Kluyveromyces lactis: one gene and its partners. The protein of the gene in region 6 purifies or fractionates together with the protein of the main gene of each other region. This does not show direct contact. Links are inferred from orthologs where the notes say so. Each region holds a gene or a part of one and is shown on either strand. Other genes may lie near its edges.

Region 1 (3,949 bases), on a different chromosome or scaffold from region 6:
CCCGGGGTATTTGGAGAAGACACATTAATTACTAGAACATCTGCGTACTTTTGAAAGCTTTCTACACCTTTCAAATAATCTTGCACTTCATCACCGGTCTTATTCTTACCCAAATTGACCCCCAACAATTTGTCTTTGTATAAGGACAAGTTTTCAACGGAATTGTCCTTAAACATGTAACTGTTGATGAAACTGGTAATACGGGATTGTAATGTGTTGACAACGGTGTCATGGCCGGATGAATTGAAACCGTATCTGTTGATAACAGCATCATCCAAAGGTAATCTAAAGAATCTAGGTCTTGGGTTTCCTGGTTGTGGTAATGGAGTCACAGAACCAATCTCTATATAACCGAATCCTCCGGAAAGTATACCGTCGATGGCATCACCATTTTTATCCAAACCGGCAGCACAACCAATTGGATTGGTCAATTTCTTACCAAAAATGTTCACATTCAATACCTTATCATCGTTATCGAACCATAATCTTGGAGCCAACCCATTCTTCAAGAACCAGATACCTAATTTATGCCCATCTTCAGCATCTGGCGTTACAAGTCTCAACATCGGGCACAAGACGTACTCATGGAAAGCAGACCTCGAATTGGAGAAATAGAATCCCGCAAATGAACCAATGGCTATCCCAACAGTGTACTTCAAAAGCTTAGGGCCAGAAATGCCTGCTTTCAATGGGACCATGCCATTCTTGACAAAGAACTGCGATTGATTTAGCGTAAAAAGTTTCTTGCTCAAAATACGTGGGAACCCACTATTCATAGTTGATAAAAGCAAAATACGCGGTATTCGGAGTGACCTCTACTTGCCTATTCCAATCTTGTATAACAAGAGAAAAGAACAACGATACACGATCTAGCTCTCTATTCATTGCGGGAGGACCAAAACATTAGTTCAAGTTCTTCATTTTCATTTCATTTTTCAGTTAAGACTCGACGGAGTGTTTTCCGGAAACACATCTGTGAGGAACAAAAGTATGTGACTAGCAGATGCCTGGTGCAATTAGCTCAGAGGTCACCATTGCATATTAATTTGTACTTTGATTTAATTTCTTTTAGATACCTATCATATGTCTAGATGCATAGAAGGTAGTATACTACTTTACACCGGTACTACAGGATGCAGATCAAGTGAAAAATACTCAGGGAACTACTCTTAACTACTCTTTCAAGAAGAAATGATTGCTATTTTGGTTAGAAATCGTTTGGACTCATTGGGTTTGGTATTTATAACTGAATTTCCCCACGTTTTGGGCATGTACTATGCGCCGATTGATCTATTTATCAGTCATATACAATTCTTACTTGGTAATGTCTATCATTCTTCAGCTCAACTTAAGGATTTTTTCTTTTTTTCTCGAGTATCCAATATCGAAAATTTTAAGAAACGATGAGATGAGATGAGCTTCACAATATAAGGTTCTGCAAGTTTACTGCTACATCTTCTGATATCAGGTATCACTTCACGAGAAGCCGAATCAATATTCAATAATGGTTGCTAAGAAAGGTAGTAAGTCACAGTATAGTGACCTACAACGGAGAGACAATCAGGACAAATTTGAGAGATCGAATAACGATGATGATGCCAACGGGTCTCACAAGATGCAGAAGAAAACCAAGGATAAGAAGTTAAAGGCAGGATTGAAGCGTATTGATCAGAAGTATAAGGAAGCGGTACTCTCTACTGCTGCTACAGAATATCTTTTACCCGAAGAGCATGGTTATTTAGAAGCAGAAGATGAGATGGAAAAGACGTTCAAGTTCACACAGGCTGAAATCAAACACCATGTTGACGCCTCCATGGCCAATAAGGCATTGGACTTGAAATTAAACGATTTTGGTCCGTACCGTGTAAATTATTCCAGAAATGGTACGCATATGCTTATTGCAGGTCGGAAGGGCCATGTAGCATCTCTTGATTGGAGGAAAGGTGAACTTCGTGGTGAGCTAAATCTCGGGGAGACAGTGCAAGCAGCAACATATTTGCAAAATGAACAGTTCTTTGCAGTAGCACAAAAAAAATACACGTTCATTTACGATCATGAAGGTGTAGAGCTGCATCGTTTAAAGCAGCACATAGAGGTCAAACATTTAGAATATTTACCATATCATTATCTCTTGGCAACAGCAGGACAAACAGGTTTTTTGAAATATCAAGATGTTTCGACAGGTCAACTAGTATCAGAGATCAGAACTAAACTAGGTCCTACTACAGCGATGGCTCAGAACCCTTGGAATGCAGTAATGCATTTGGGACATAGCAACGGCACAGTCACTCTATGGTCACCATCAATGCCATCACCACTGGTAAGACTATTATCATCTAGAGGATCAATAACAGGAATTGCTGTAGATAGACAAGGTTATTATATGGCCACCACTGGTTCCGATAAATCTTTAAAGATTTGGGATATCAGAAACTTTAAAGAAGTACATAGTATTGAGAACATGCCTACGCCCGGTACTAACGTTGCAATTTCAGATACAGGTCTACTTGCAGTATCAAGAGGGCCTCATGTAACAATTTGGAAAGATACGTTGAAAAGTGGGAAAGCTGCTAGACCGTATTTCACCTCTAGCGGTTACAAAGATAGAAATACTCCGTATATGTCTCATTTATTCGCTGGAAATAAAATAGAGAACTTCCAGTTTGCGCCATTCGAAGATTTGCTAGGTGTTGGACATCAAAAGGGTATAACCAATTTGATTATTCCAGGCGCAGGGGAAGCCAACTACGACGCACTAGAGGCCAACCCATACGAAACAAGCAAACAGAGACAGGAACAAGAAGTGAGATCATTATTGAATAAGTTACCTGCTGATTCTATAACATTAAATCCAAACACAATAGGTACAGTAGATTCTCGTGCTTCTCAAGTCAGATTAAATGCAAAGGATCTTGCAATTATCTCGAATGCAGAGCAAGAAAAATCCAAACTAAACAAAGACATTCCTGATGCCAGACCTGATGTTAAAGGTAAGAACTCCGGATTACGTGCGTTCCTACGAAAGAAAACTCGTAATGTTGTGGATGAAAGGAAGTTAAGGGTACAAAGACAACTAGAGAAGGAAAAGTCTAGCCGCCAAAGAAAAGAAAAAATTAAGAAGGGTGAACTTGCTGATGATCACAAAGACCTTGTTGATGAAGCCTTATCAAGATTTTCTTGAATCATCAAGTAGTTATCAATATGTATACTTACATGAACACTTATATAATCTGTTATTATAGCCGGCTTAGTATCGACTGTTGCAAAAACATGTTTGAATTATTTGCATATAGATACGACTTAGTTTGAGGTGATTATTTACTGTACATTATGAAGGATGACCGCTATTGCTAGGACCTAATTTCTCGATTAAAATTCAAGAGAATCCTCGACTTTAAATGAAGATGGTAATGGGGCATATATATCTTTTGTTTGTCTTACGGTCTTGATTAATTCTAGTGGTTCTTCAGGTGTCTTATCCTCAACGATAATGACACCTGAGTTTCCTCTGAATTTGCGAACAGGTACAAAACGGCTATCTTTCGCAAAAGATATGAATTTGAGTTGCTGCGGAAGCACACGGGTGAGGTTTTCAACATCATAGCTCGTTGTCGTGTATTTGATCTTAGCTTCTTCAGTATTCTTGGCCTCTTCCTTCTTTTTTTCCTCCAGTTCCACCTCTTGCTTTTCTTCATTTACTTTTTCTGCATCCTTTTCTTTAACCTTTTCATGTTCTCCTTTTTTACCTTTCTTAGCTCTTGCCTTGGCCTTGGCGGTAGTTGACAAGACGGCAGCTGCAAACTTTTCTATATTTTTGTCCACCTCTTCTTCGTACATGCGAGGATAGGTGAAAATTCCCTCCTTCGTATGACATTTGAAAGCAAATTTAGGAATTGCCAAATCGCTAGCACGCAAACCCACTAAGGTAGTTGGAGTGAACGAAAGCGAT
Region 2 (4,340 bases), on a different chromosome or scaffold from region 6:
CCCGTCCTTGAAATGCAGAACGAATTTTCAAACTCTTTCATATAACAATAAATCGTACTATTACACAAGTATTTCTATAAACTTTTCTAGAGCAAGTCTGTCAAGTATAGAGGAGTGAGTTTTGAAGATAATGCAACACTTTGTTTGTTATGTTTTCAGAATTCTTCGGCCTTTACGCCAACTTCTGGATCGTTGCTTGAGGCGTCCGATACTGATGTCTGTTGTAACCTTGACCTAGATTGTCTGAATAATTCTTCCTGTTGTCGTAGTAATTCCTCCTCAGACAAACCGGATTTCTTGAATTTAGCATCCCGCCTCTCTCTAATCTTCTGGTTTTCTTTGTGTTGATGTAAAATCTCTTCTAATGGTGGAATAAATTCATCAAACTCCAAATCTTGTAAGGATTTGATCACGTGATCAGGCGCTATCGTCTTTTTCAACTCTTTATCTGCGATCTCGCTAGCAGAACCCGCTAGCATCATGATGAACTCTACCCCACATTCGATGATTATTTCACGAGCCTCCTTACTGAATGTTAGATCGGAATCAAGTACTTCAGATATGATTTTTTGAACGGTAGCCTTCGGTAATGTAACGTCGTCAACCTCTCCAACCATGTTTTCAATTGCTTATGGTTGAAATTCTAACGGTCTTTATTTTCTAAGATAAAGCTTGTGATTATTATTTTTTGGTTTTGCAAGCTTCCCTGAAAAAACTATAATACTCTCGAACTTAATTCTGTGCTGCAAGTCAATATACCAAACAAGCACTTCACGTAGTAATCAATTAGATAATTGGATGAACTTGAGATGATAACAGATTGTAAACAAATTTAACAATGTCAACTTTTGTTTTTAAATGCCTGGTATTACACTTTTTTGTCCTCCTTGAACTCTAGATCTGAATTATGTATAATAATATATACTAAAAAAATACTCATCGCTATTTCATTCACTATGCAAAAAAATGATATGGCTCGCCAAATTGGCACATTTTTTGATGCTTTATATATAAAACTACGAATCAAACTAAGAAGAAAAGTTGAAAATAAAAAAAAAAAAATTAAAACAACAACACACATCGCACACATCGCATCACCTATGCAAACAAGGGACAATAAGGGAATTCTGATTGGAAAATATATATATATAGATGTATATTCAAATTAGCAACAGGACAGAGACATATAAGTGTTGACCTTGGTTGTTAGGCAGGAGCTCTTTCCTTACTTGACGTAAATTCTTTATGTTGTGTTAATCACCCAGCTTCCTCTCATCACAGTAGAAATGCTAACTAGTGTTTGTTAGGAGATATGAAGTGTATAACTTGAAAGCAGGAAGGCAATGTTTGGAGGTTGTAAAATAAGATTGCAAAAGCTGAGTTAACGAACTCAGCTCAGTGGATGTATCCTGAAGAAAAGCCTTAAATTGGGGACCACTGGCTATATGCTCCAAATCACGTGAACAATATATGCTAACTTCTTATTACCCGGCACTTGTTTTTTGTAAGTAAATCTCACTTTTCTTTCTCCTTTCCAAGCTAAAGCTTTTCATTTGAAACTTTTCATAGCTCATCTCATCGCATCTCATCTGAGCTCATCGCACAGTATTTACTTTTGTGTACTTACTTCTTTCCTAAAGTGTTTCGATAAAACGTCTTGGGATATTAATTGAACAATCACCGGCTTTCGTACTGTTTAAGCTAGAGGTCTACACTCTACCACACGAATAACAATAGCAAGCTTAACGATGGCAACAGCTTCGCCAGTCGTATTATCACAATATGATCCAACCGGACAATATTTTGCATACGTTTCCACCGCTTTGGATAAACAGCGGGTATCAGTGGAGCCAACAACTGCCTCCAAATCTGGTTTAGTGAACGATAATTTTCTCTATTTGGAGGGGAAAGACGTCTGCTGTACATGCATACAATGGATTACTTACAATGACACACCATTGGTAGTTCTGGGTCTAAACCTAGGGGAAATATGGCTATACTCTCCTTTATCGAATGAAATAGTGGCGAAACTGAACACAGGATCAAGCTTAGCAGTTTTAGATTTCCAACTCTTTTCAAGCAAGGACAAGGCCTGGTGTTTGACTGGTGATGATACTATTTTTTTATTCGACATGGTATCACAGAATGTATCAAAAAAATTCAAAATTGATGAATGTAAGGACTTAAAAAAGCTATGCATAGTTGATAGCAATCGTATTCTTGTCGCTTCTCATCAAATTTACTTAATCGATGTCATTTCAAAGAAATTGTTGTTACAATACCCTGGCCATATTTCACCTGTGTCTTTCCTTCAAGTGACCACAGATGGAACAGCATTTTTGAGTGCATCTCAGGACGATAGATTTTTGAATATTTATGATTTGGACACTACCAAGACTAAGTCCGTCCTAGTAGCGGACTCGAACGTTATATCAATTTCGATATCTGAGGATTGGTCTCACGTGTCGGCAACAACAGAAGATGGGGATATTGCTATCTTTGAAGAACCTTTGGTATCAATCAATTCAGGGAATAAGAGACGTTCTGGTAAGATATCCAAACAAAAAAACAAAACTATAACTTTATTAAGGTCTAATTCCGCAACCAGATTGCCTATTATCAAAAGTTTTATCAACAAAGATCTAATTAATTTTTCGTGGTTAGAAAATGCAACCACACCTTACTTTGATCAAGTTCAATTAGGTAACCTAACGGATTCAGTCACCACTTTATCCAAGCCATTGCCATCTGCTAAATCTACACAAACCAGGAACAACCAAAACAGTGATATTTCTTCGGCAAAGCTCTACAAAGAGGGTAATGCAACGGTAACATCTGGTGATAACTTTAAGCATGTGGAATCCATTGTCCAAAGTTTAGATGATATAGAAGGAGAAGGGATTTCAGAAACTTTACAGGATAGACTAAATATAATTTCACCACCATCGAGAAAACCAAAGGAAAGGAGAAGAGCCAACGCTGGTACTTCTTCTGTTGTATTAGCTCAAGCATTAAAATCAAATGATCATGCTCTATTGGAAACAGTCCTTAACACACGCGACGAAAAAGTCATTCAAGCAACCATAACCAGGTTATCCCCCCAACTTGCTACGATTCTCTTGGAAAGACTCGCTGAACGTATCGCCAGACAAACTCATAGACAAGGTGCTTTGAACGTGTGGGTGAAATGGTGCCTAATAATTCACGGGGGTTACTTAGTTACCATTCCAAATTTGATAAATTCATTGTCATCGCTACATGCTACTTTGAGGAAACGAGCAGATCTCTTACCAACACTCATGGCATTGGATACACGTATTACACGTTCATTAGATGAATTGAACAGTAAGAGAGCCGTACAATACGGCAAGGATCAACTTGATTCTGAACTTGTCGCTCCATATCAGGATGACGAGTCGAACCAAAATGAAGATGAAGAGGAAGAAGTGGAATATATAGAAGAGCTAGACGATGCTGGATTAATAGACGATGGTGAAGACAGTGCAGAGTACTCTGAAGATGATGACGAACACAGCGAGGCTGATAATCAGGAACTTACATACACTGAAGAAGGATTTGACGACGATGACGAAATGAGGGTCGACGTTGAAGAAGGATACTCTGACGAAGAAGTTCAGCATTAGCGTACATAAAAGAAAAAATATAAAACGCTAACGCATTGAAAAATGCAGCTGCTATGTATCGACTTAGACCTGACATTCTTCCTCCATGCAGCTTTAAGCTTGATTGATCATTATGGCCGGGTAATGGAAACATCGGAGTTTGACTCTGTCTGTAAATAATCTAATTAAAAAAAACAATTGTTTGCTAGTGATGCTCTCAGAATTCAATTTAATCCAGAACCAAACAAGTTAAAAATTTAAAGCGTGGAACATGGAAAATGTAGAAGCGTTTAATGAGGTGTTCTGTGTTGGTTTAGAACGTGCATTTTTGGTAGACGGTCTATCCGGCTCGGAAATCCCGTTCTCGTAAACAATTTTAGAATTTCTCTACTGGTTGCAAGCACGTAGGTTCGTCTCGCGGTACGGGAGTTGATCTTGTCCATGGGATCAGTATCTATCGTTTCGTTTTGTTTTTTTTTATATCTTTGACAGATAAAGTATAAATGTGTCGTGTATTCTTTCGGCTCATCTTCCATTTGAACATTCGTTGAGTGTTCTTTGATCAGTAAATCTTTGATATACTTATTTAAAGAAGTGGCAACCACAGGTTACCCAAGTTAAAGTATCTCATAGCTTTTTTGCTGCAGGCACAGAGCAGGAGAGTTTTTCTATTAATTTCAGTCTTCTGTTAAAGAATTAAAAAAGGGTTCTCGTTAG
Region 3 (4,681 bases), on a different chromosome or scaffold from region 6:
TTGCTACTAAAGCCAATTCTGAAGAAGAGGCATTCGATAAGCTTGAGCTGTTAAGAACCGATAATAAAATTGCTCGTGCTAATCATTTAATGGTTGCATGGAGAATCAAGGGAGAGAACGGTGTCAGTTTCCAAGACTGCGATGACGATGGAGAAACAGCTGCAGGAGGACGAATGCTACATTTGATCACAGTGATGGATGCATGGAATGTAATTGTTGCCGTTGGAAGATGGTTCGGAGGAGTTCATATTGGTCCAGATAGATTCAAGCATATAAATTCAACAACTAGAGAAGTAATATTGAAGGGGCATTTCACAGAAGCTGCTACCTCTACTTCAAGTAAGAAGAGGTCAAAATAGTTCACATTTATAGAATGGAGTATTGTTACCGGAATTTGATCTACTCTATTTATTATATAAGTCGGCGAAAATAATATACAAATACTAGTGTCTCATTTAGCATCCTGCTATGAAGTTTAATTTCTATTCCTTTTTGACTTCTTCTTATTCCTCTCAGTATTACCATTACCATTGGATTTCTTCTGTTTCTTAGTCTGTGTTTCGGCTTCCCATAGCTTTTCTAAATCTGTCGTCGACACATCGTCCTCGTCCTTTTCTTCAAAACTTCTTTTCTTATCATTAGAACTCCCATCTGAACCGGGCGTAGCTCGTCCGAGTTTATTTCCGAATATTCTTCTTCCTGCATTTACACTAGTCCGTAGTGTGCTTGTGCTGAGATCGTTTGTATCGATCTTCGAATCCTCATCATTCAGTGACTTGATAGCAGAGAAACCTACGTTCTGTACCACTTTTGATTTATTAGCAAGTTTTGTCAAGAGTTTTACATTGTCACCTATCCTCCATTCTGACGAGTCCACCAATTTCTTTATTGTCTCCTCGGTCTGTTTAACTTTGTCTGCTTGTTCCGCATGCTTCATGAACTTCATGTTCATCACTCTATTGGATAACTTGCCTGTGACTTCATGCCGTTTCTGTCCACTCATTGTTACCTTTTCGTCTTAGTGCCCCTATTACCGCTTTCAAATAGGCTTCACTATATCATTGACACTGGAATACATTTTTAATGTATCATTAAAGTCCTAATACAGCTCATCTCATCAATCTTCTGCTGAATGGTTTGATCTTACATATTAGAATTTCATGAAAAGTTTGTTTACGATTGTCCGGAAAATGAAAGATAGCAAGAAGATAGAAATATCCATGGTTAAACCCCGTCGGACGTATTTCAGAATGCAAGGATCTGCACTATAAAAGGAACATTGTACAAAAATAAATGAAATAAAAAGGTCATTGGTAAAAGTATGAAAACAGCTATAATGAAGTACTCATACTAAGTTTCAAGTGCTGACATAAACGACAATCCACCCAAAAACCGACATGTTTCTGTTCTCTCTTTCTTTACTTCCGTGCTAAAGCTGTATATGTTTTCCTTTCTTTTTCATTCAGCATACAGGATTTCGAAAAATTTAAGAGAAAAAATTGAGCGATGAGATGAGATGAGATGAGATGAGTTCAAGCAGGAAGTGCAGACGGATTATCAGTCACTTGTAAGGACTTTGCATTATAATCAGTTGTTCAATTTCAATTAGTTGGAAGGAATCAGGTCAGACGAGCTTTATAAGGGTTTAGTTACGGATGAAGTCTGATTTTAAGTTTTCCAATCTTTTGGGAACTGTTTATAGGCAAGGTAACGTCTTGTTCTCTCAAGATGGTTCCAAGTTACTTTCACCGGTAGGTAATAGGGTGTCGGTATTTGATTTGATCAACAATACTGCTTTTACCTTCGAATATGAACATAGGAAGAACGTTGCCGTTGTAGATATCAACAAGCAAGGTACGTTACTTCTTTCCATTGATGTCGATGGTCGTGGTATCTTGGCGAACTTTAAGACAAGAAACGTATTGCATCATTTCAACTTCAAAGAAAAGGTTTATGACTTGAAGTTTTCACCTGATGGCAAGTTATTTGCGCTGGCTTGTGGGAGATTCTTACAAATATGGAGGACACCCGAGACCACTGAGGATAGACAGTTTGCACCTTTTGTTCGTTATAGAATCCATGCCGGCCACTTTTCTGATATAACTTCCTTGACATGGTCAAAAGATTCAAGATTTATTATATCCACATCCAAGGACCTAACGGCAAGGATATGGTCAGTTAACTCGGAGGAGAAAAATCTTGCATCGACGACTTTTGCAGGACATAGAGATAACGTTATCGGAGCATATTTCAGCGATGACCAGGAAAAGATATACACGGTCAGTAAAGATGGTGCCTTATTCCAATGGGAATACACCAAAAAGCCTGGTGAAGGGGAAGACAATGATGAAGATGAGGAAGATGTAGATTTGTCAAAATATAGTTGGAGAATCACAAAGAAGAATTTTTTCCATGCAAACAGAGCAAAGGTGAAGTGTTCTGCATTCCATGCTGCATCCAACATATTAACAGTCGGTTTCTCAAACGGTGAATTCCGACTCTATGAACTGCCAGAATTCATCATGATTCAACAACTTTCAATGGGTCAAAATGCAGTTAATACGGTTGCCATCAACAGTTCTGGTGAATGGTTGGCTTTCGGTTCTAGTAAACTTGGGCAATTGATAGTGTACGAATGGCAATCAGAGTCATATATTCTAAAACAACAAGGTCATTTCGATACGTTAAATGGATTGTGTTACTCCCCAGATGGATCGAAGATTGTCACAGCAAGTCACGAAGGTAAGATCAAGATTTGGGATGTCGCGTCAGGTTTCTGTTTGGCAACTTTTGATGAACATGCAGGTGGTGTAAGTGCAGTAGAATTTGCTAAAAAAGGTCAAGTTTTGTTTTCAGCTTCTTTGGATGGTACCGTGAAAGCATGGGACTTGATCAGATATCGTAATTTCAGAACGTTCACTGCGACCGAAAGAATACAGTTCAACTCATTAGCAGTTGATCCAAGCGGAGAAGTTGTATGTGCCGGGTCGGAAGATAGCTTTGACATTTTTGTTTGGTCAGTACAGACTGGTCAGTTAGTGGATACACTATCTGGCCATGAAGGTCCTATCTCCTGTTTATCTTTCAGTAATGAGAATGGAGTTTTGGCATCCGCTTCATGGGATAAAACAATTAGAGTGTGGTCTCTCTTCGGTAGAAGTCAACAGGTAGAGCCTTTTGAAGTATTTTCTGATGTTTTATCTATTTCTATGAAACCGGATGGTCAACAAATAGCTGCAAGTACTCTAGCGGGGCAAATATTATTCTTTGATGTTGCTGAGGGCAAACAGGTGGGAAATATTGACGGCAAAAGGGATATAATCTCGGGTAGACATTTGGAAGATCGGTTCACATCAGAAAGTTCAGCAAGATCTAAATATTTTACCACCATTCATTACAGTTTCGATGGTCTCTCTTTGGTTGCAGCCGGTAACAATAATTCCATATGTCTTTATGACATTCCAAACGAAGTACTGCTAAGAAGATTTACCGTATCCAAAAACATGATGTTAAACGGCACCATGGAGTTTTTAAACTCAAGTAGAATGACAGAAGCAGGATCTTTGGATCTCATTGATCAAGATGCAGAAAATTCAGACTTGGAAGATCGCGTAGATAACAGCCTTCCTGGTTCGAATAGAGGAGGTGACTTATCGACAAGAAGAGTCAGACCGGCGATCAGAGTGACGTCTATAAGATTCTCTCCTACTGCTAATGCATTTGCCGCCGGTTCAACAGAAGGTTTACTTGTATATTCCGTTGATAATACTATTCTTTTTGATCCTTTCGATCTTGACGTCGATGTGACTCCACAGAATGTTATCCAAAGCTTAGATGACAAGGAATATCTCAATGCCATACTAATGGCTTTCCGTCTAAATGAGGGCTATCTAATCCACAGAGTATATGAGAATATTCCAATAAAGGATATTCCATTGATAGCTCACGAGTTGCCAGTGGTTTACGTATCAAGAATTCTAAAATTCATTGGTGAGTACGCTTTAGAATCACAGCATTTGGAGTTCAATCTCCTTTGGATCAAATCTGTACTTACAGCCCACGGCAAATACATTTCTACTAATAAGCATCAATTCTCTAGCGCATTGAGAGCTGTCCAAAGATTTATTGGTAGAATGGCAAATGACGTCGTCCAAACATACAAGAGAAATAAGTACACATTAGACTTTTTGACAAATACCGATGGTTCTTCAACTAACGCTGTTGACGAGGATATGAATCTACTGGGCAATGATTCAGACAACGAATCTGAAGACAAAGAGGATATCAACATGGACGACGATTTAGATGGAGGTGAATGGGTTGGATTCGAGGAAAAAACTATTAATCTTCCTGTTAATGACGAAGATTCTGACGACGAAATCCTACTATGAAATCGGGATACTTCACTAAAAAGAGAATATATATAATTCCTAGCATGATAGATATATAAAATCACATCTCATTAATTTCAATAAAACAATCATTACCACGAATTCACATGGAGATTTTCACTGTTGTCCGTTTTTAACTTACGTTATTGCCTCTTAATCTGATAAGTTACATGCATATTAAAAATTCAAAATTGTTAAAAACCTTATAATTCAGGAACAGTTTTGAGATGAGATGAGATCAGATGAGATGAAGAATATTCAAAATAGAGAAATTGCGGTACAAAGCGTGA
Region 4 (3,980 bases), on a different chromosome or scaffold from region 6:
TTGCATCTGCATCTGTCTCAGCTGCCTCCGCTGCTTCTGTTGCCTCTGTTGCCTCTGTTGCCTCTGTTGCCTCTGTTGCCTCTGTTGCTTCTGCCGTTTCTGAAGCTTCAGCTGCATCGGTTTCTTCTGCCTCTGTTGCGTCTGTTTTATCTGCTTCGTTAGAAAACAAGAAGACTGCAATTACTTCCCATACTTTAGCTCGTGCTACCGGTTTGTTAGCTATTGCTTCTTCTAACAGTACCAACTCTACTACATCTACTATACATTCCATTAACACAACTACTTCTGAATCTCAATCTCAATCATCCAAAACTACAGTGTCTGCAACTTTGACTTCCTTGACAAGTGATTCTTCTACCGGGGCTTCCACTTCAGGCACTTCAGAGTCTACTGGTGCTGCTTACCAAGTTGGAATTAACGACGCTTTGATTGGTGCTGCCGCTGGTATTGCTTTGGCCTTCCTATGATTCCTTTACTTTGGGAGTTGTTTGCTTTCTCTTGAGACGATTTGTGTTGTTTATTACTCTTTCGTTCCTTGCTTGTTTACAAGAACATGAGGAACGCTTAATACTTAAAATAAAAAAATCCATTTGACTTTTCCCGATCTTTTCCTTTAATCCTTTGAGCTATTCCTTTGATGTTCCCGCATTTAATTCTCTACGTCGCTGGCTATGTGAATTAAATCTTATCTGTTCTCAAATTCGTTCTCTAACACCTTATTTTATCATGGCTGACAATGAAAGACACTACTCAAAATCATGTCACAATGATTTCTATTAATCCTTTCCTAGTTCTCTACATCATTGATCGGTTAGAGCTCTCTATATATAAATATATACCCTTGTAACAATTACTAATGTATTTCGGCTTTATTAAAGTATTCTTCTTTTTACTATACAGGAGATTTTTCTATTGATAAGATTAACTAGAATCCGGTTTGTTCTATCACAGCAGAAAAGATACCATTTCTTGCACCTGGTACCTTGCTAATCCATCTTCCTAATCTATGTTCTTTACTGACACTTGCTAGAATTCTGAAGGTTTCTCTACCGGTTCTGCCGGATTCTACGGCTTGAATTTTGGTTACCACACCTTTACAGTTAGGTAAGTCTCCTAATAGTTCAAATGCTCTTAAGTTCTCATTGATTTTCCATACCTTCAGGGTTCCATTCCAGGATCCTGAAATGAAAATATCAGAATATGGAACGGCGTATAATGATGTTATCCAAAATGGTTGGGCAATGGATCCACCTTGTAATTGTGCATTGCGTAATTCATCGCTCACTTCCCCAGAGATTTTTTTATCCTCAACTAATGGTACAACACCATGAGCAGTTCTAACGGTGAAAAGAGGTTTCTTTTTGGATAAAGACCATAATGATATATTTCCGTTATCAGAGCCAGTAACGAAATGTGAATCATCTACCATGCTAATACAATCGATACTTCCCTCGCCATAAAAGTGAGGTGGGGTCTGTTCATGCATATCTTCTCCGCCTTCTGCGGACAATTGTTGGTTCTTCAACCATTTTTTCCTCAGTCTTTCAGGATCATCACCACCTCTGAATGTCAATCTGGATTCGTCAGCTATTTTCCACAACATAGCGGTACGATCCCTGGACCCCACTGTCACACAACGCTCCATATTTAGGGCAGAGATATCAATAACCAAATCCTGATGACCGTATAATATTTCCAGTTGAGAAAACTGGTTAATAGCATACGTTCTGATTTTGTAATCGGCACATGCTGCGAATAATTGATCCGAATTCTTCTTGAATGCTAATCCTAAAACCTCACCTCTACGATCTTTGGTTGGAATAATTTTCACAGGGGCTAAAGATTCGGTACTCCATACTATCAGTTTACGGTCACGACCACCACTAACTACGTATTTACCATCAGGAGAAGCTGCCACCGTTAAGATTTCATCGTAATGACCTTCTGTCACATTCTCGTACTCAAATTTACCTTCCGGTATGTATTTTCTACCACCTTTAACATATTTCACTTTTTTTGGTCTAGCTTTGAAATCAGTAACATCATATTTTGTTAATTGCATGTCCTTGCTAACAGTGTAAGCAAATATTTTGTCCTTGCTCTTATTTTGAACATCTTTATGAGAAAACTTGTTAACTGAGGGTTGATAACACGAAATACATGTTAGATTATTTTCGCCTACTCTTGTAAACGTTGTTCTGGATTCACCTATCAAAAGCTTATTTGAAATCCATCTATAGATACGCCCTTGTTGCTCTGCAACATCTTGTTTCAATCTGGAAGCAATGATATCTCTGTCCAAGTCACGAGCATCAAAGTTATTGTAATCCTCTAATTGTGTTTGACGGTCCTGTTCAGTGCTTGCGGTCGCCAGAGAATCGCCAATATCTTCAGCTTCAGCCTTTAAATTCTCTAAATATTGTTTAGCCAATCTTCTTCTCTTATCAGCAGGGTTTTCGCCTTCAAACTCGTCTTCAGATTCCAAGTATTCTGCTACCTCATCGCCATCATTGGATTCATCTTGGACATCACCTTCATCAGAAGAAATATCCGTGATTTCCTCATCTACCTCTTCGACAGAATCCCTATTACGTTTTTTTGAGACATTGCTTGTACTAGATCTAGCCATGGTGTACTTGGTGGCCCTCTGGTTGCTGTCTCGTCTGGTTTAGTTGCAGCTCATCGCCTGTTTCAATGATGTTGGTTCAGATGTACAATTTTTTTTTCAGTATCGCCAATTTGTAAAAGAAACGACACCACTTGAAAAGTGACAAAAATTGAAGAATGCATGAACTTGCAACAGAATTAAATAATAGTTTGGAAGACTTTACTCGATTCAACGACCTATATGCCTGATTTCATTGGTATTGCTAGAATTACTTAGTTTAATTTACATTACGGCAGAAAATGAACGTCAATGCACGGATCGGAAAATCAATTATTATTTAAACTGACAATACTTATTCTAGTCCAGATAAGAAGAACAGGGGATTATCATATATTATTGAAATCGGCCTCAAATTTGGCCTCAATAATCGTGTTGATTTTTCTTACTAGTGGAAGTAGTTCAGCTCTTTCTGCAATTTTTCTTGCAGCAGATAGGGCCTTATCTTGCTTCAGTTCGTTGACGATTGAAACGGCCTTGTTAACATCTTGCTCGGAACAGACATAAGCTAAAAGTCGTAGTAAGGACTTATCATGTGTTGCTACCAGATGCTGTAATAGATCTGTTTCATTTCCGTATATCTCACCTTCATTATCCATCGTGTCTTTTAGTAAATCACTTAGTATCTTGGAGCGTAGAAATTCCTCTTCTGCTGCTAGGTACATTGGAATTTCGACACCATTACTGTTATCAATATCTTCCACATCGCTGCTGTCGTTACGATTATCGTCTTGTGTCTTTTGAAGCTCGGATTTTGATACAACTGGGATTCTGACTTCCATTTCTGTAGGAACGGTCATTGGGATATCTGGCCATGCGTTCTTCCCCTTCAATAATAAATACGAAAATGTATCGAAGTTTAATCCTAATGGCCAAACGTGGACGTTCTTCGGATGCTTACCCCCTGACATCTTCCAAAGTTCTAAATTGGTATCAACTATGGGTACCCATCTCGCGTCACTACCACTTCTCCATTTGGACAGAATTAACAAAACATTATCATGACCAAACATACACGGATCACCAAAGCTTGAGAAGAATAAGGATTTGATACCTAGGGGGTTGAATGAATTGAAAATATCATCGTATTTTAAAAATTCAATGTCTTCATCATCATTTCCCGGCTGATTCTGTTGAGGCAACGTTATTGGTAAGGGAGATTCTCTTTGGAAGTATTTATTGCCAGTTTGCGGATGTTGTTGGAACATCGAGTAAGTAATACCATGATATTGTGAGTAATGAATGGTGAACACTTTGTACTCATGAGCAGACAAAGCAACAATAGGTGACATTTTTTCTATTGCCAGTGGTAACC
Region 5 (3,828 bases), on a different chromosome or scaffold from region 6:
TTACCGCCAAAGAAGTAATCCCCTTGTTGTGACCATGAATGAATTTGATGGTATGATCATTTAGAGACAAAATGCTCAAGGTCCCATCAAGCGTCAATGTTACGATGGAGTTATCCTTAGTGACAACAACACCGACAATTTGATTCGAAACATCTGCACCTAATTTCCAAGACTGTTGGAATGGATCATCCAACGACACATCCCACAACCTTGCAGTGCAATCAGCACCCACGGTAACAACTCTAGAAGACTCTTCACCATCGTCTAACCATGCGACAGCAAACAAACCACCGCCAATTGGAGCCTTTTCAGACTCAATGTATTTGATAAATTCACCAGTCTTACCATCAAAGCAACATATCTTACGATCGCTACCGACAGACACAGCATATTTCCCTGCACCTGGAGAGAACTTGACGTCTCTAACGAATTTACCTTGGCCGTGATGCGTTCTATCACTGCTTGCAAACTTGAAAGGTGGACCCTGGTAAAACACAACAGAACCATCATCACTGACACTGAAAGCTCTCATTGGTCTGCTTTGCTTGAAATGAACTGCATTGACTCTTTGAGAGTGACCCGAGACTTCACCTAACGAGTTGCCCGAGTCCCAAGAGACAAACGCACCAAACCTATCACGACCTTCACCAACAACAGCCAATCTTTTACCCTCAAAATCCCAGGATATATCAGCGACAGGACCAGCGAGCACATGTAGTTCCGACTTAACGTTGTACTCAATTTCTCCAGACTTATCGTCCTGATTCCAAGACCAAACGATAACTCTACCGGAATCATCTCCTGAAGCAACATATTGAGACCCCTGGATAGGAGAAAATTTTACAACAGTGACATTACTGGTACCATGGCCATTGAATTGAACGACATGTTCACCATCTAAAGATCTAATGATGGCAGATCTACCGCTACCATAAGCTAAACTGTCAGTCTTTGGATCATATGATAAATGTGTCGTAAAGTTTCTCTTTGTAGAAGGGAGAGGTGCAAAAACCTTTGCTAAATTAATCGAAACCATATTATCGCGAGATACTAGATCAATTGACTTTTGGAACACTCTGTAAACGCACCAGAAAGACCTCTTCCTGACTCAAACGTGTCCTGTTCTCATGGTTTAGTTTCTTGATAAACTGGTGAGTATAAATAAATTCCATACATATGGAATGTAAATAGACGAAATAATAACTACTGGGATGCAGAAATACAAAGAAAAGATATCCTAAATACCAGTTAGTATAATGAAAGTGGTATTGCTGAATACCTGGGAATCAAGAAAATCTGGGAAACCAGGTTAAAAGCAGATAAAGGGCCTTAAAGGCCCTTTATCTGCTTGTAAAGTACAGTGAACGGTTATTCTTCTCTGAAAAATCACAATCAACGAGATTCTTCGAGTCTTCAAAGAAAAGAAACCAGATTTTGGAAAAAAAAAATGATTGAAGCCTTAGCTCATCGCATGGTTGATAAAATAGATTTCCCTGTAATTTGCGAGTTATATCAGTCGGTTTGGTATCGTCAGACTACTGTTAAGTGATAGAGGTGATTCAGGCGATCAGATTGGTAGAAATATTGTGAAGAAAATGTCGTCTGTGAGACCTAGAGTGACGCCGGTAAAGGCTCCTGTGTTACCAAAGCAGACCACCCCAGAGCAGAGGTACTGGAGGTCTTATTCATCTACTCAGCTTGTTAAAGAGCACAATGCAGTGACTCATATTGCCTTCAATCCCCAGCATCCACATGATTTTGCAGTTACCTCTTCTACTAGGGTACAGGTCTTCTCGTCAAGGACAAGACAAGTGATCAAGACGTTTTCTAGGTTTAAAGATGTGGTGCATTCGGCCACTTTCCGTCAAGACGGTAAACTTTTAGTAGCAGGTGACGCTACTGGGTTAGTGTCCGTTTATGATAGTTATAATCCACGTACTTTGTTGCTTTCTATACAAGCTTCGTCGCATCCTACGCATGTGACGAAGTTTCACGATCAGGATAACAAGACTTTGGTGACGGCAAACGACGATAGAGTAGTGAGACTATGGGATGTTTCTCATGCTTATGAACCCACTTTACAGTTAACTGGAGCATCTGATTATGTTAGATCAGTCTGCTTTGTGCCAAATGCTCCACATATGGTCGCTACAGGGTCGTACGATGGAGTAGTTAGATTGTACGATATTAGAACGAAATCAGATAAACCACAGACAACTTTGGATCACGGTCTTCCTGTGGAAGATATCACAGCCATATCTCCTACTCAGCTTGCATCGTGTGGTGGTAACGGGTTCAAAGTATGGGACTTGACTAGCGATAGAGCCCTTTGTGAACGTCAAAATTTCGCAAAGACGGTCACCTGTTTGAATTACACAAATATGGGAGAAGAATCACCAATGAGTTCCGTACTAGTTGCATCCTCGCTTGATGGTCATGTTAAGATCTTTTCCCCGTTGGAGAACTTCCAATTCAAGTTTGGCTGGAAGTTTAGCAACGCTGTGCTAAGTTGTGCAGTCTCACCAGGCGATGCGCAAGGTAATAAACATTTCGTTGCAGGTTTATCCTCAGGAATTCTAGCCATCAAGACGAAGAAGAAGTCCAAAAAGATTAACCTCGCTGATGTCTCTGATTTGGAGGATTTACCATTACAACAGCAAGAGAAGTCTGCGAAATCCAACAATTTCCAGAGAATGATGAGAGGGTCCGAATACAGAGGTGATCAAGAGCATATTATACACAACGATAAGCCAAATCCTCAGCGTAAGTTGCGTCAATTCGAAAGGCATATCAACCAATTCAAATGGTCTGACGCATTAGATTCTGCATTTATCCCCGGTATGGCTAAAGAATTAACTTTAACGGTATTACAAGAACTAAGGAAAAGAGGTAAAATCAAGGTTGCATTATACGGTAGAGACGAAAGTTCTCTAGAACCACTACTCAACTGGTGCTTGAAGGGAATAGAAGATGTTAGAAGTGCACCAATTGTTGCAGACTGGATTGCGGTTGTAATTGAACTCTACGGTAGTGTACTGGAGAAGTCCCCAGTACTTGAAGAGATGGTAATCACTCTAAAGAAAAGAGTAAGGGAAGAGATCCGCAAAGCAAAAGAAGCACAAAAGATAGAGGGTATGCTCCAATTGTTAACAAACTGATAAAATCCTTTCTACACTGATCTATAACAAAAAGGAATGCGTGTAAAAGATTATATTTATTTACATTTATAGTACATAGACTGCAACAACTGTATCATCCCGTTCGTTACGTCTGTTTCTTTGTTTTTAACGTTCTGACTTTGAAGAAATCACCTTCTTCCTCTCCATTTACTGGCTCTGTTTCTTCCTGCCTTTGTTGGAAGATTCAAACGCTTGAAGTTGTTGCTAACAAGGTTGTATTTACTCTTACGTTGCTTCTTCTTTACGGGTGGATTGGATTGTTGTTCAGAGTCAGACTCACTTTCTTCCACTTCTTTACCCAGCATTTTATTGTACTCACGTTCCTTCAACTTTGCTAGCTGTTCATGAACATTTTTGTCTGGAATGTTGGTCGACTTCTCGTTTAATGCTGCTGGTCTCATCTTCGCTTTTGTTCTTTTCTTTATGGTTTTAACTTTCCGCACATAATTGCTCTCAGTTTCATTGCCGACAGTTCCCTCGTCCCCCTCTTCAATTATATCCATATGTTCTTCCTGCATCAGCTTTTCCATAAGCGTTCTAATCGCAGTGAATTCGCTGAAATCTTCTGGGTTAGATTCGAATTCGTCTTTTATAATGGCATGTTCCTTCGCTAATTGGGACAGTGTCTTCACCGGCCTTTTAATCAGCG
Region 6 (4,832 bases):
AAGAACAAATGTTTCTCCGTGACTCAGAAAGATAAATGCCCAGAGGTATTTTTGAACGCAGTAAGCGATAAACTAACATCAACCGCAGTATTATTTCTAAATGTTGAGTTGTTAAGTGACTTCTTTTACAATTTCCCAATTGAATTGGATAAGAAACTAAGTTTATTATCTGATGAACAAGTCGAGATGTTCGCTAAAGAGGACGTCAGAATTGCTAGACATATTGAATTACAAAAACGTAAAGAATTATTGGAACTCGCTTTGGAGAAAATAGATTCTATTCTTATGTTCAGAAAATCCTATAAGGGACTGTCGAAAAGAAACCTATAATGATCACTGTATCCTATACAACCGCTTCTGGAACACTTTATAATGACTACTATTTACGAGATCACTGTATATAAACAAAACTTAATCTTAATATGTTTCTACATGGAAATATGCCAACATCTTATGTAAGGCTTCCCGTCTTTAAATAATTAATGAACTTTTTAAAATCCCAACATACCAAATTTATAAAATCAGATGAATATGCTTTATTTAGGTGATGTGAATAGTATACAATGCAATAGTACATGAAATAGAATTGTGTGCATGCGTGCATGCGTGCTTCTTGTGCTTTCTTTATTTGTCGTTTCAGCAGCTGAACAGAAGTTACAGCAAACAGATGGTAATTGAAACTCAGTGGTTTTGTCTATTCTGGAGTCCATACGTCGAACGTAATAAAATGCAAACAAAGAACGCAAGAAAACAACGCGGTAGTAACCAGTGGCAGAAAAGTGAAGACGTAATTAAAGAGAATGGACCATTTTAGTGTAGAAGGGGGTATCGCAATTGATAGTAAAAGCAGACCACCTAATCTCTTTTTTCCAAAGGATTGTATCTCAAGAACTTTTCAATCAAATCGACATGTGTTAGAATCATTCTTCTGCAACAGTATCTCTTCAACCCCAATCTAGTCAAAGCAGTACCTTCTTCTAGTTCTTCTTCTTGCAACATATTCAAATAGGCTTCCCATTTGTCACCGACAACTTTCCCACAGGAAAAACATCTAACTGGAACAATCATCTCTCTTTAAAAGTATATCGAAACGAAAAAAAACCTAGAAACCTGGAAACCTGGAATAAACCCTCCGAGATTTATAAACTATCACAATAAGTGGATCAAAACCTGCTCGACCTTTTGAAAACTCATATAATTTGCATCACAAATCATCATATTCAACCAGCTTTCTTAATTCTTAATACTTTAATTTTTCATCGGTTCCAAATTTTTCATTAGATGCCCTTATATGTCACTTCTCACGATAGAGATGACCATCGTTTCTTTTCAAATCCTCGTCCTGCACAGGTTTCAACCATAAAATTTTCCAAAACTACAATTCTACATACGGTGAAAAAAAAGAATCCACATTAGACAAATAATTGAAAAGATGCGATGAGCTTATGAGTTATATGATGAGCTTGTCTTTTGAGAAGCAGAGAAAGAAAATACCAAGAGTAGGATCAGCCAGAGGCACCAACAAGAGTATCAGCTGTTATCGAATCCACGTTAAATATGCCAAACTCTTCGTTACCAATGTACAAGCTTTCTGTTGTTTCTGGTGGGAAGGTCGCTCTTCCTAGGATTCACAATAGATCCGCGACTAGAAAATCGGTGAGTTGTCTTACTCAGGACGGGTCAGCATACATTGTCCCTTTCAACAATCAGTTCAAAGTGTATTCAATTGATACTAGACAATGTATTAAGACATTGAAATTTGCTAATAATGATATTTTGACTTCGATACTCGATGAGCCTTCTGTAGAGGTGGTGCATATCGAGCCTATTATTGACGATGAGATGGATAAGATCAGAGTGTATACCAACACTGCGAAAGTAGTTATATTGAAGTATAAGGGTAAATTAGCCACGGAGATTAAAACTTGGTCTTTGAATATTACTGGCGAGTTATTTGCAGTTCTTGGCGATGGGAAGAAATTACTTACAGTTCAGAAAACAGGGAACTCTTACAGATATGATCTATATGAAAACGTTGAAGAGAAAGAGGAAGAATCTGAGGTTAAACACCTTGAAACTTTTGAGAATGTTTTACTTTCAACTTGGTCTAATAACAATAACTACCTTGCCCTAGTTTATTTGAACCAGGAAACTAAAAAACATGTGCTGATCAAATCTATGGTCGACAACAGTTCAGTTCAGAACTTCCCAGTACCATCTACAACATCTAGTACCACCATAAATTCCCATTTTGTCACTGCTCTTGCGTTAGATAACGACGGCCAGCAGTTGGCTATTGGATTTGCATCTGGTGTTATAAATTTGATCAATCTACCTGATCTGTCTCATAGATTATTGAAATGGCATATCGACTCAGTCCTATCCTTAGGATTTACAAATGACAACGCATATTTACTGTCTGGTGGTTGGGAGAAAGTTTTAAGTTTTTGGCAGTTGGCTACTAATATGCAACACTTTTTGCCAAGATTGAACGGTGTCGTCCTGGAATGCTTACCAGTAAGTGATAAGTACTATTCATTAGTGTTACAATTCGCTGAAAATAATACAAATTCTGACTACCAGATTACATTGCTCAATGCCACAGATCTATCATCAATACTTGCCATCAACGGCCCATTCCCGGTATTTGATACCATTACAAACGATGTTGAACAGCCAATTTCTACAGTTAACTCGAAAAGTTCTGTGTCGTCATCCAATATGCTACAATCGAAGAAAAAGCAAAAGAGAAAATTACTAAAGAGGAAAAAGCATGATTTCACCGCACCTTTGTCTGTACATCCATCTACAAAACATCTCTACTTACCACACGTTTCATCTTTGCAGTCTTACGATCTATACAAAAATGAACAGGTGAGCTACCAGTATGTTACATCCAGTGTCAACAATGCAGCAGGTAAGGTTAGACTTGAGTTAACTATCCAGGACCCTGTTGTACAGGATGTGAAATTCACCCTAGATGGTTTTTGGATGATCACATATGAAGTTGAGTACCCACCTGAGGGTTTATTGTCTTCTAAGGAGTTGTCACACGTTCTAAAATTCTGGAAATTAGATGACAACAAAGAATGGGAGTTGAAAACTAAAGTGTTGAACCCACATGGTAACAACGTCCCAGTGACAAACATAACTACAGCTCCAAATAGCATAAATTCTTCCCAGGGTTGTTTGACTGCTGATAACAATGGTGGATTAAAATACTGGAAGTTTGATTCGAAACAGAATAACTGGTGTTTGAACAGATTATTACTACCCAACTACAACCATTTTTCGAATTCGGTGCAACTAGCATGGTCCTTAGATGGCTCCTTAATCTTCCACGCTTTTGAAGATAAGCTATCTACCATTGAATTCAGCGAATTCAAACTACTGGAAGATGAAAATGAGTTACCAATCGAACGCACTTTGGATACTCCAATTCAAGCTCTTACACTTGTCAACGATTCGACATTGATAATCTCCACGAAGACTTCCTTGCATTCGTTCAATTTATTGACACAATCCACCATCAGCAGTTTCGATATCTACCCTTATGTGAACGGAGTTTACAAACCGGGCCATTTTGCCAGACTACTTGCATGCGATGCGAACACTGGAAGAATCGCACTTGCCATTAACCAACAAGCAGCAGGAACTGATGGCAATCCAACCTTACAACATAAAGCCAACATTTTAATTTTCAATTCCGATCTAACAGAAAAGTTGGGCAGCTTCGAACACAACGAATACATATCGTCGTTGGTATGGAATTACGCGGCAGATTTTATTTTCATGGATATCCAGTCTCGTCTTGGAATCGTGAGCACCACAACCAGCTCGGAAATGGTGGACGAATCGAATAATGATCAAGCATTTGAATCTCTACATCCCGATTCATTCAGCGAAAAACTACAAGAGCTTACGAGAAAGAAAGGTTTGGCAAACACAGATGCTGAGGATGGTGTAGATGAAGACATAGATCTAGAATTCATTAACGGGAACTTGTCACAAAACAAGACCATTAACATGAACAGTTTTACAAGTTTGTTTGAAAACATCGACAACGTTCAAATGAATACCTTGTTTGACCGCGTCATGAAGATTATCACATAGATGTTTTATACATTGACTCGAACATACGTATGTGTATATAATACAGAGAATATTTAAACAACCCTCCATTTAATTATTTATTCTGTCACTGACAGAAAAAATACTCGATGACAGATTAAATATGGAAAATAAAATAATCTAATAACTGTAAAATAAAACAAAAAACTAATGCGACAGAGATCAAAAAGAAGGAAATCACCTCCAAAGCAAATTAAGGCAGATGTTATGAAACATAGTTCCACCATCGCATTCCCAAGTCCATGGATGTACTGACATCGCTCCACTTCTCCCGGTAGAATACGTCTTATACAACGCTTTAAAATTAATATTATATCTGTTTTCAAACTACCAATACCATGACCACTAGTCCAGTGACTCACAAATCCACTTGTATGTTGCTTCCCAGTAGAGTCACAGACCAATCCACTTTGTTGAGCAAATTCTCATGTCATCCTTTTGCTGGTCACCATTTTATAGAGAGCGGTGTGCATGCTAAATCACACTTTATCCATTTTTATCAGAATCACATAGAAACGCACGTACAAAACGGTAATATTTTCTCCCATTTTTTCCAACAGCAGCTTCGTCTTCCTTTTCCCACCCGAAGTCACTTTTTCACGACTTGTTTTTTTTTTCTGATATAAATATGAAGATGGCTTGACATTTTTTCAGAATAAGAAAATAAGAGATATTAAGGTATAATATGCTTTGAAGCGGTA
Region 7 (4,728 bases), on a different chromosome or scaffold from region 6:
CTGCTGTGGTGAAGAGTTTTACCAAGGATTCTTGGGATGGCAATTTCTTTAGATTGTTGTCCAACTGAACCTTGTGAATGAGATCATTTTGTAGGTTATCATATGGCGATAGAATCAAGAAGTATACAACCCTGGATAGAGCTGCCTTCCATTGAATTTCATCTGCCTTCACAGAATCAGAGTTGTAGATTTCTTGGTAGTACTGAGCCACTTCTAAGTAATCTTTCTTATGCAAGCCAATCTTTACCAAAAGGTTATAATACTCTAATTTCAATGCTGCATACTTTTCATTCTTGAAAGTCTTCTTTAATATTTTTCTGGACAACACAGTGGCTTGAGAGTAATCACCTTTTAGGATACTTAATTCCATTTGTTCAAGGATAAATTCAATCTTTTCATACATCTCCATGGACCCATACGTTTCCACTTGCAATTCACATAACAAGTCAGTGGCCTCATCGATCTTGTTCTCAGATCTTCTGATATGAACCAAATCTCTAGTGACTCTAGCTCTTTCAACTTCCACGAAAATCTTGTTCTCAGTCACGGTTCTTATCGTCTCAATAGTTTTAATCTTGGTGTCCAAATCCTTCAGGTCTTCCAAATATTTCATCACAGACTGAATCATATACTGCACAGATAACTTCAATTGACCATGCTTTTTTGATAGAAGCATGATTTGGTCGTTAAGTAGGTCCCATTGGTCTGCTGCGACCAAAACATCTACGATCTTAGTCAAGACTCTTTTCGAAGATGCTAAATCAGAAGATTGTCTAGTCTTCTTTTCCAACACTAACAATTGATCCAAAGCACTGGAATAATCATTCTTGGCCAAAATCTCAAGCTTAGGAAATTCAGCGTCCAAGATTTCGGTATAATCTTTCTCTGCCTTAATTGGAGCGTCTCTGGACATATTTTACGATATAATTTATACTCTTTTCTCTTTGCTCTGCCTGCTCAACTTAAACCGAAATGCAATACAATCAATTTCTCTGTATCCGTCCTGTATTCAAACCACACAAACTTACAGTCTCAGAACCGACACTGTAACCTGCTGTACCTCTGTTCGCGGTTATTTCGTATATATTTGCCACCTGTAACTGATTTCCTTTATTTCTCATAATGCCTTTAAAATGACAAGCTACGGTAAAAGCTTCCTCAGTAACAGTAACAATCGAATCTTAGAAAAACGTGACTTCATCATCGTTCGTAATGATTGTGCTGGATATTCGGGTAACCTTGATTTGATTTTATTGTGCGGGTAACTATTTTCTTTCTTTTCGGTGAAAAAGCATTAAAAGTTTGACAGAAGATGAATTGAGCGATGAGATGAGATGAGATGGGATTAAATCAAAGGCTGTCAGAAGGTTCAGTATCTTGGCCGATTGTATTGAATTGACTTGCATCATCAGTTGTGTTTAGACCATTCTTCTTGTCTGTGGGCAAATAGGTTACAAAGTCGAATAATAATGGGTGGTTCACAGTTGAAGAACTTGAAGGCCGCTTTAAAGGCTAATGGGTTGACTGGTCAGACCAATGTCAAGAAGAGTTCTAAGAAGAAGGGCAAATCTCCCAGGGAGTTTGATAGAGAAGAAAGACAGAAGACTATTGAAAGAATTAGGGAACAGTTTAATCCGTTTGATGTGAAAACAAATCGTAATAAAAAGGTTGGTGTGATGAGGGAATCTGCAGCTAAACTTGCAGTAGGTAAGCCGGGAATCACTAAACAAGCCGGTGAAGATCAACGTAAAATGTTCTACGAAGCCAAGAAGTCCAGCAAGAACAGAAGCGGTGGTGTCTTAGATAAACGTTTTGGTGAAAAGGATAAGAATTTGACTTCCGAGGAGATCATGTTGGAACGTTTCACAAAGGAAAGACAACGTCAATCTTCGACGAAAAGATCGTTATTCAATTTAGACGATAGCGATGGTGGTGAGGATGAAAACGTGTACGGTGAAAAGTTGACTCATTATGGTAAGTCTCTTTCCTTGGAAGATGATTTCGATGAAGGTGATTTGGGGTTACAGCATTCTGATTCGGAGGACTTCAGGTTGAAACAAGCTGGTAAAAGAAATATGGCGGATCAATACGGAGATGAAGGGTTAGGTGATGACGCTTTGCAAGAGCCAGCAAGAAAGAAGACTAAGGCAGAAGTCATGCAAGAGGTCATTGCTAAATCCAAATTTTACAAACATGAAAGACAAAAGGCGCAGGAGAAATTGGTCCAAGATATCGAAGGCCTTGATGACGATTTCGAAAGCATTATGTCTGAATTAAGGACGTTACCAAAGACTAAACCTTCTCAAACTGAGATTTCGACCTCCACAGACATCGCTCCAGATTATGATATCAAGGTGAAAGAGTTAGTCTTGGAGAAAAGAGCTGCCCCTGCAGATAGAACTAAAACAGATGAAGAGATTAAGAAAGAATATGAGGACAAACAAAAGGAATTGGAGCAGAAAAGGCTTGATCGTATGAACGGTATTTTCAACATTGAAGATCAAAAAGATGCTGGTGTTGAAGATTTGGGAGAAGAGTTTTGGGAAGATAGCGACTCTGAGGAGGGCGAATATGGTGAATATATCAAAGCAATTCCTGACTCGGATGACGACGTTGATTTCGAGAAGGATAACAATGATGACAATGAATACGACGCTACATCAAATGGTAGACCTTCAGCAAGAGTTATACCTTCTGTTCCATGTCCTCAAATTCACGATGACTTACTAAATTTCTTGAAATCTTATCCTATCGAAGAGCATCCATCTTTAGTTAAAAGAATAGTAAAAACATACCAACCAAAATTGGCTGAGGGAAACAAAGAAAAATTGGGCAAATTCACTGCTGTTTTGCTCAGACATATACTTTTCTTGGCTGAAGAAGATTACTCGGTTAATGTGAAAGAAATTGCATCATTACAAAACGAACTAGTAAGCATTCTAAAGACTCTTTCAGAAAAGTTTACCATTCCACTATCAGAGGATTGTAGAAATATCATCTCAGATATTCAGACTAGATTCAAAGAATCCCAGTTCTATGGACTATCTCCATCAGATTTGGTATTTTTCTCTGTTGTTGGTATGTTGTTCTCCACTTCGGATCACTATCATTTAGTCATTACTCCCTGTCTGCTTCTAATTGCAGAGTTTTTGGAACAAATTAGGTTCAATTCTCTTCAAAAATTAATATTTGGTTCGATACTGGTTAGAATCGCCATCCAGTATCAACGTATAAGCAAGCGTTATATTCCTGAGTTAACATACTTCTTGCAGACATCTTTGCGTTCTCTAATACCGAGTACCAAAGGGGAAACATTAGAAAACAAAGAAAAACAGGAGGACAATTTATCAATAGTAGGCTCGGATATTAACTGGTCCAAGGTCGCCCCTTCTTTAGAATTACACTCATTATTTTCCGAGGATCTAGAAAAGCAAGAATCTATCAAACTGTCCGTGCTGGTCAACAATCTAGAATCAATTGATTGGTGCATAACGAACATCTGGAAAGATCTTACTGCCTTCCCAGAAATCATTAATCCCTTCAAAGACATACTAAACGTGGCTGCCGAAGTATATCCTGGTACTTCTAAACCAAAACAATTAGTGGAAAAGATCGAAAAGCTATTGAAATTCCAAGAACGTCTGCCATTGACGTTGCAACAGCATAAACCACTGGCGATTCCATCAAATACGCCTAAATTCGAAGAGAACTTCAACCCAGATAAGAAGTCGTATGATCCAGATAAGACCAGAAGTGAGTTGAACAAGATGAAGGCGCAATTGAAGAAGGAACGTAAGTTCACTATGAAAGAAATACGTAAAGACACTAGATTCGAGGCAAGACAAGGCATTGAAGAAAAGAAGAAGGAGTACGCCGATTACCATTCCAAGATGGCACGTATTGTCAATCAAATCAGTACTGAAGAAGGTGCTGAGAAAAACAAATATGAGCGTGAAAAGAAGCTCCGTAATACCAAACGTTAACTGCATATTATATAATCTATACTCAACATTAATAAACTTTATCATCGATTGCGATCTGATTTTTTGTAATATTGGTTTAATAGGCCCATAACACCATTTCCCGCCTTCAGTTCGTCAGCATTATCAGCAATATCATCCTTAAAAAGGGTAGATTTGTTGATAAGTGAACCACTCAATGAGCCTAATTCAAGGTCCGAACTACGATCCGGGAATCTCTTCACCCTTGATCGATTAAGATTTCTCTTACGATTGGAGTTTTTACCTAAGGCAAATTGTGTCTTCCAGGAATAGTCTTTAGTAGAGCTGTATGGGTGATAAGATGGCTCGATTGGAGAAGCTGGTAGCTGATTTTTGCCCACTGCATTGCCTGCATTCTTGTAATCGTCAACGAAGTACATATATGACTGAAGCATTTTGTTAACACCCTCATCCGATTCGGTTTCACTATCATCCTGTTCTGCTTGGGAAAACATTCTCTTAGTTTGTTTTTTGGCCTTGGTACCTTTGTCAATTTTAGTAGCTTCAAACATTGCGTACTTACACACGTATCCCAACCCCTCCTCATAGACGGTACATTCTCTAAAAAAATCTATTATTCTTTCTGAATTCTTTGGCAGGGAGAACCATAATATGAAGGGAGTGATTATAATGCTGACTAGTTCCCTTAGTAATAATGTGATTCTCAAGTTGTAAAGCCTACAAAACTCATTTTTGATGTCCTCTGTATGATATTTCCCCTTCCATT

What was found.
Region 1: the proteins of NAN1 (region 6) and UTP7 purify together in Saccharomyces cerevisiae (affinity purification with mass spectrometry; 5 studies listed by BioGRID). This does not show direct contact. The link is inferred for Kluyveromyces lactis from reciprocal best matches to the Saccharomyces cerevisiae genes NAN1 and UTP7.
Region 2: the proteins of NAN1 (region 6) and UTP5 purify together in Saccharomyces cerevisiae (affinity purification with mass spectrometry; 4 studies listed by BioGRID, with this or other methods). This does not show direct contact. The link is inferred for Kluyveromyces lactis from reciprocal best matches to the Saccharomyces cerevisiae genes NAN1 and UTP5.
Region 3: the proteins of NAN1 (region 6) and PWP2 purify together in Saccharomyces cerevisiae (affinity purification with mass spectrometry; 6 studies listed by BioGRID, with this or other methods). This does not show direct contact. The link is inferred for Kluyveromyces lactis from reciprocal best matches to the Saccharomyces cerevisiae genes NAN1 and PWP2.
Region 4: the proteins of NAN1 (region 6) and RRP9 purify together in Saccharomyces cerevisiae (affinity purification with mass spectrometry; 3 studies listed by BioGRID). This does not show direct contact. The link is inferred for Kluyveromyces lactis from reciprocal best matches to the Saccharomyces cerevisiae genes NAN1 and RRP9.
Region 5: the proteins of NAN1 (region 6) and UTP15 purify together in Saccharomyces cerevisiae (affinity purification with mass spectrometry; 6 studies listed by BioGRID, with this or other methods). This does not show direct contact. The link is inferred for Kluyveromyces lactis from reciprocal best matches to the Saccharomyces cerevisiae genes NAN1 and UTP15.
Region 7: the proteins of NAN1 (region 6) and NOP14 purify together in Saccharomyces cerevisiae (affinity purification with mass spectrometry; 3 studies listed by BioGRID). This does not show direct contact. The link is inferred for Kluyveromyces lactis from reciprocal best matches to the Saccharomyces cerevisiae genes NAN1 and NOP14.

The regions. Positions count from the first base shown.
Region 1 is NC_006039.1:804,008-807,956, forward strand, and holds UTP7 (Utp7p), read left to right. Parts: upstream 1-1,504; coding exon 1,505-3,181; downstream 3,182-3,949. Other genes in the region: KLLA0_C09240g (dihydroorotate dehydrogenase 2), read right to left, coding at 1-776; proteasome regulatory particle base subunit RPN2, read right to left, coding at 3,370-3,949. UniProt on the Saccharomyces cerevisiae protein: Involved in nucleolar processing of pre-18S ribosomal RNA.
Region 2 is NC_006039.1:578,601-582,940, forward strand, and holds UTP5 (Utp5p), read left to right. Parts: upstream 1-1,748; coding exon 1,749-3,644; downstream 3,645-4,340. Other genes in the region: negative cofactor 2 transcription regulator complex subunit NCB2, read right to left, coding at 156-617. UniProt on the Saccharomyces cerevisiae protein: Involved in nucleolar processing of pre-18S ribosomal RNA. Required for optimal pre-ribosomal RNA transcription by RNA polymerase I together with a subset of U3 proteins required for transcription (t-UTPs).
Region 3 is NC_006039.1:782,881-787,561, forward strand, and holds PWP2 (snoRNA-binding rRNA-processing protein PWP2), read left to right. Parts: upstream 1-1,655; coding exon 1,656-4,391; downstream 4,392-4,681. Other genes in the region: YIH1 (Yih1p), read left to right, coding at 1-359; MPP6 (Mpp6p), read right to left, coding at 476-1,003. UniProt on the Saccharomyces cerevisiae protein: Required for bud-site selection and cell separation. Also involved in nucleolar processing of pre-18S ribosomal RNA.
Region 4 is NC_006038.1:969,836-973,815, forward strand, and holds RRP9 (ribosomal RNA-processing protein RRP9), read right to left. Parts: upstream 2,630-3,980; coding exon 926-2,629; downstream 1-925. Other genes in the region: KLLA0_B11055g (uncharacterized protein), read left to right, coding at 1-467; chromatin-binding protein CTF4, read right to left, coding at 2,995-3,980. UniProt on the Saccharomyces cerevisiae protein: Involved in nucleolar processing of pre-18S ribosomal RNA. Required for efficient pre-rRNA cleavage at sites A0, A1 and A2, and biosynthesis of 18S rRNA.
Region 5 is NC_006042.1:1,274,937-1,278,764, forward strand, and holds UTP15 (snoRNA-binding rRNA-processing protein UTP15), read left to right. Parts: upstream 1-1,595; coding exon 1,596-3,158; downstream 3,159-3,828. Other genes in the region: AIP1 (Aip1p), read right to left, coding at 1-1,036; SLD2 (Sld2p), read right to left, coding at 3,308-3,828. UniProt on the Saccharomyces cerevisiae protein: Involved in nucleolar processing of pre-18S ribosomal RNA. Required for optimal pre-ribosomal RNA transcription by RNA polymerase I together with a subset of U3 proteins required for transcription (t-UTPs).
Region 6 is NC_006040.1:573,570-578,401, reverse strand, and holds NAN1 (Nan1p), read left to right. Parts: upstream 1-1,557; coding exon 1,558-4,113; downstream 4,114-4,832. Other genes in the region: dynamin-related GTPase MGM1, read left to right, coding at 1-330; DNA-directed RNA polymerase core subunit RPB10, read right to left, coding at 856-1,068. UniProt on the Saccharomyces cerevisiae protein: Involved in nucleolar processing of pre-18S ribosomal RNA. Required for optimal pre-ribosomal RNA transcription by RNA polymerase I together with a subset of U3 proteins required for transcription (t-UTPs).
Region 7 is NC_006039.1:1,426,282-1,431,009, forward strand, and holds NOP14 (snoRNA-binding rRNA-processing protein NOP14), read left to right. Parts: upstream 1-1,469; coding exon 1,470-3,983; downstream 3,984-4,728. Other genes in the region: proteasome regulatory particle lid subunit RPN5, read right to left, coding at 1-913; autophagy protein ATG9, read right to left, coding at 4,025-4,728. UniProt on the Saccharomyces cerevisiae protein: Involved in nucleolar processing of pre-18S ribosomal RNA. Has a role in the nuclear export of 40S pre-ribosomal subunit to the cytoplasm.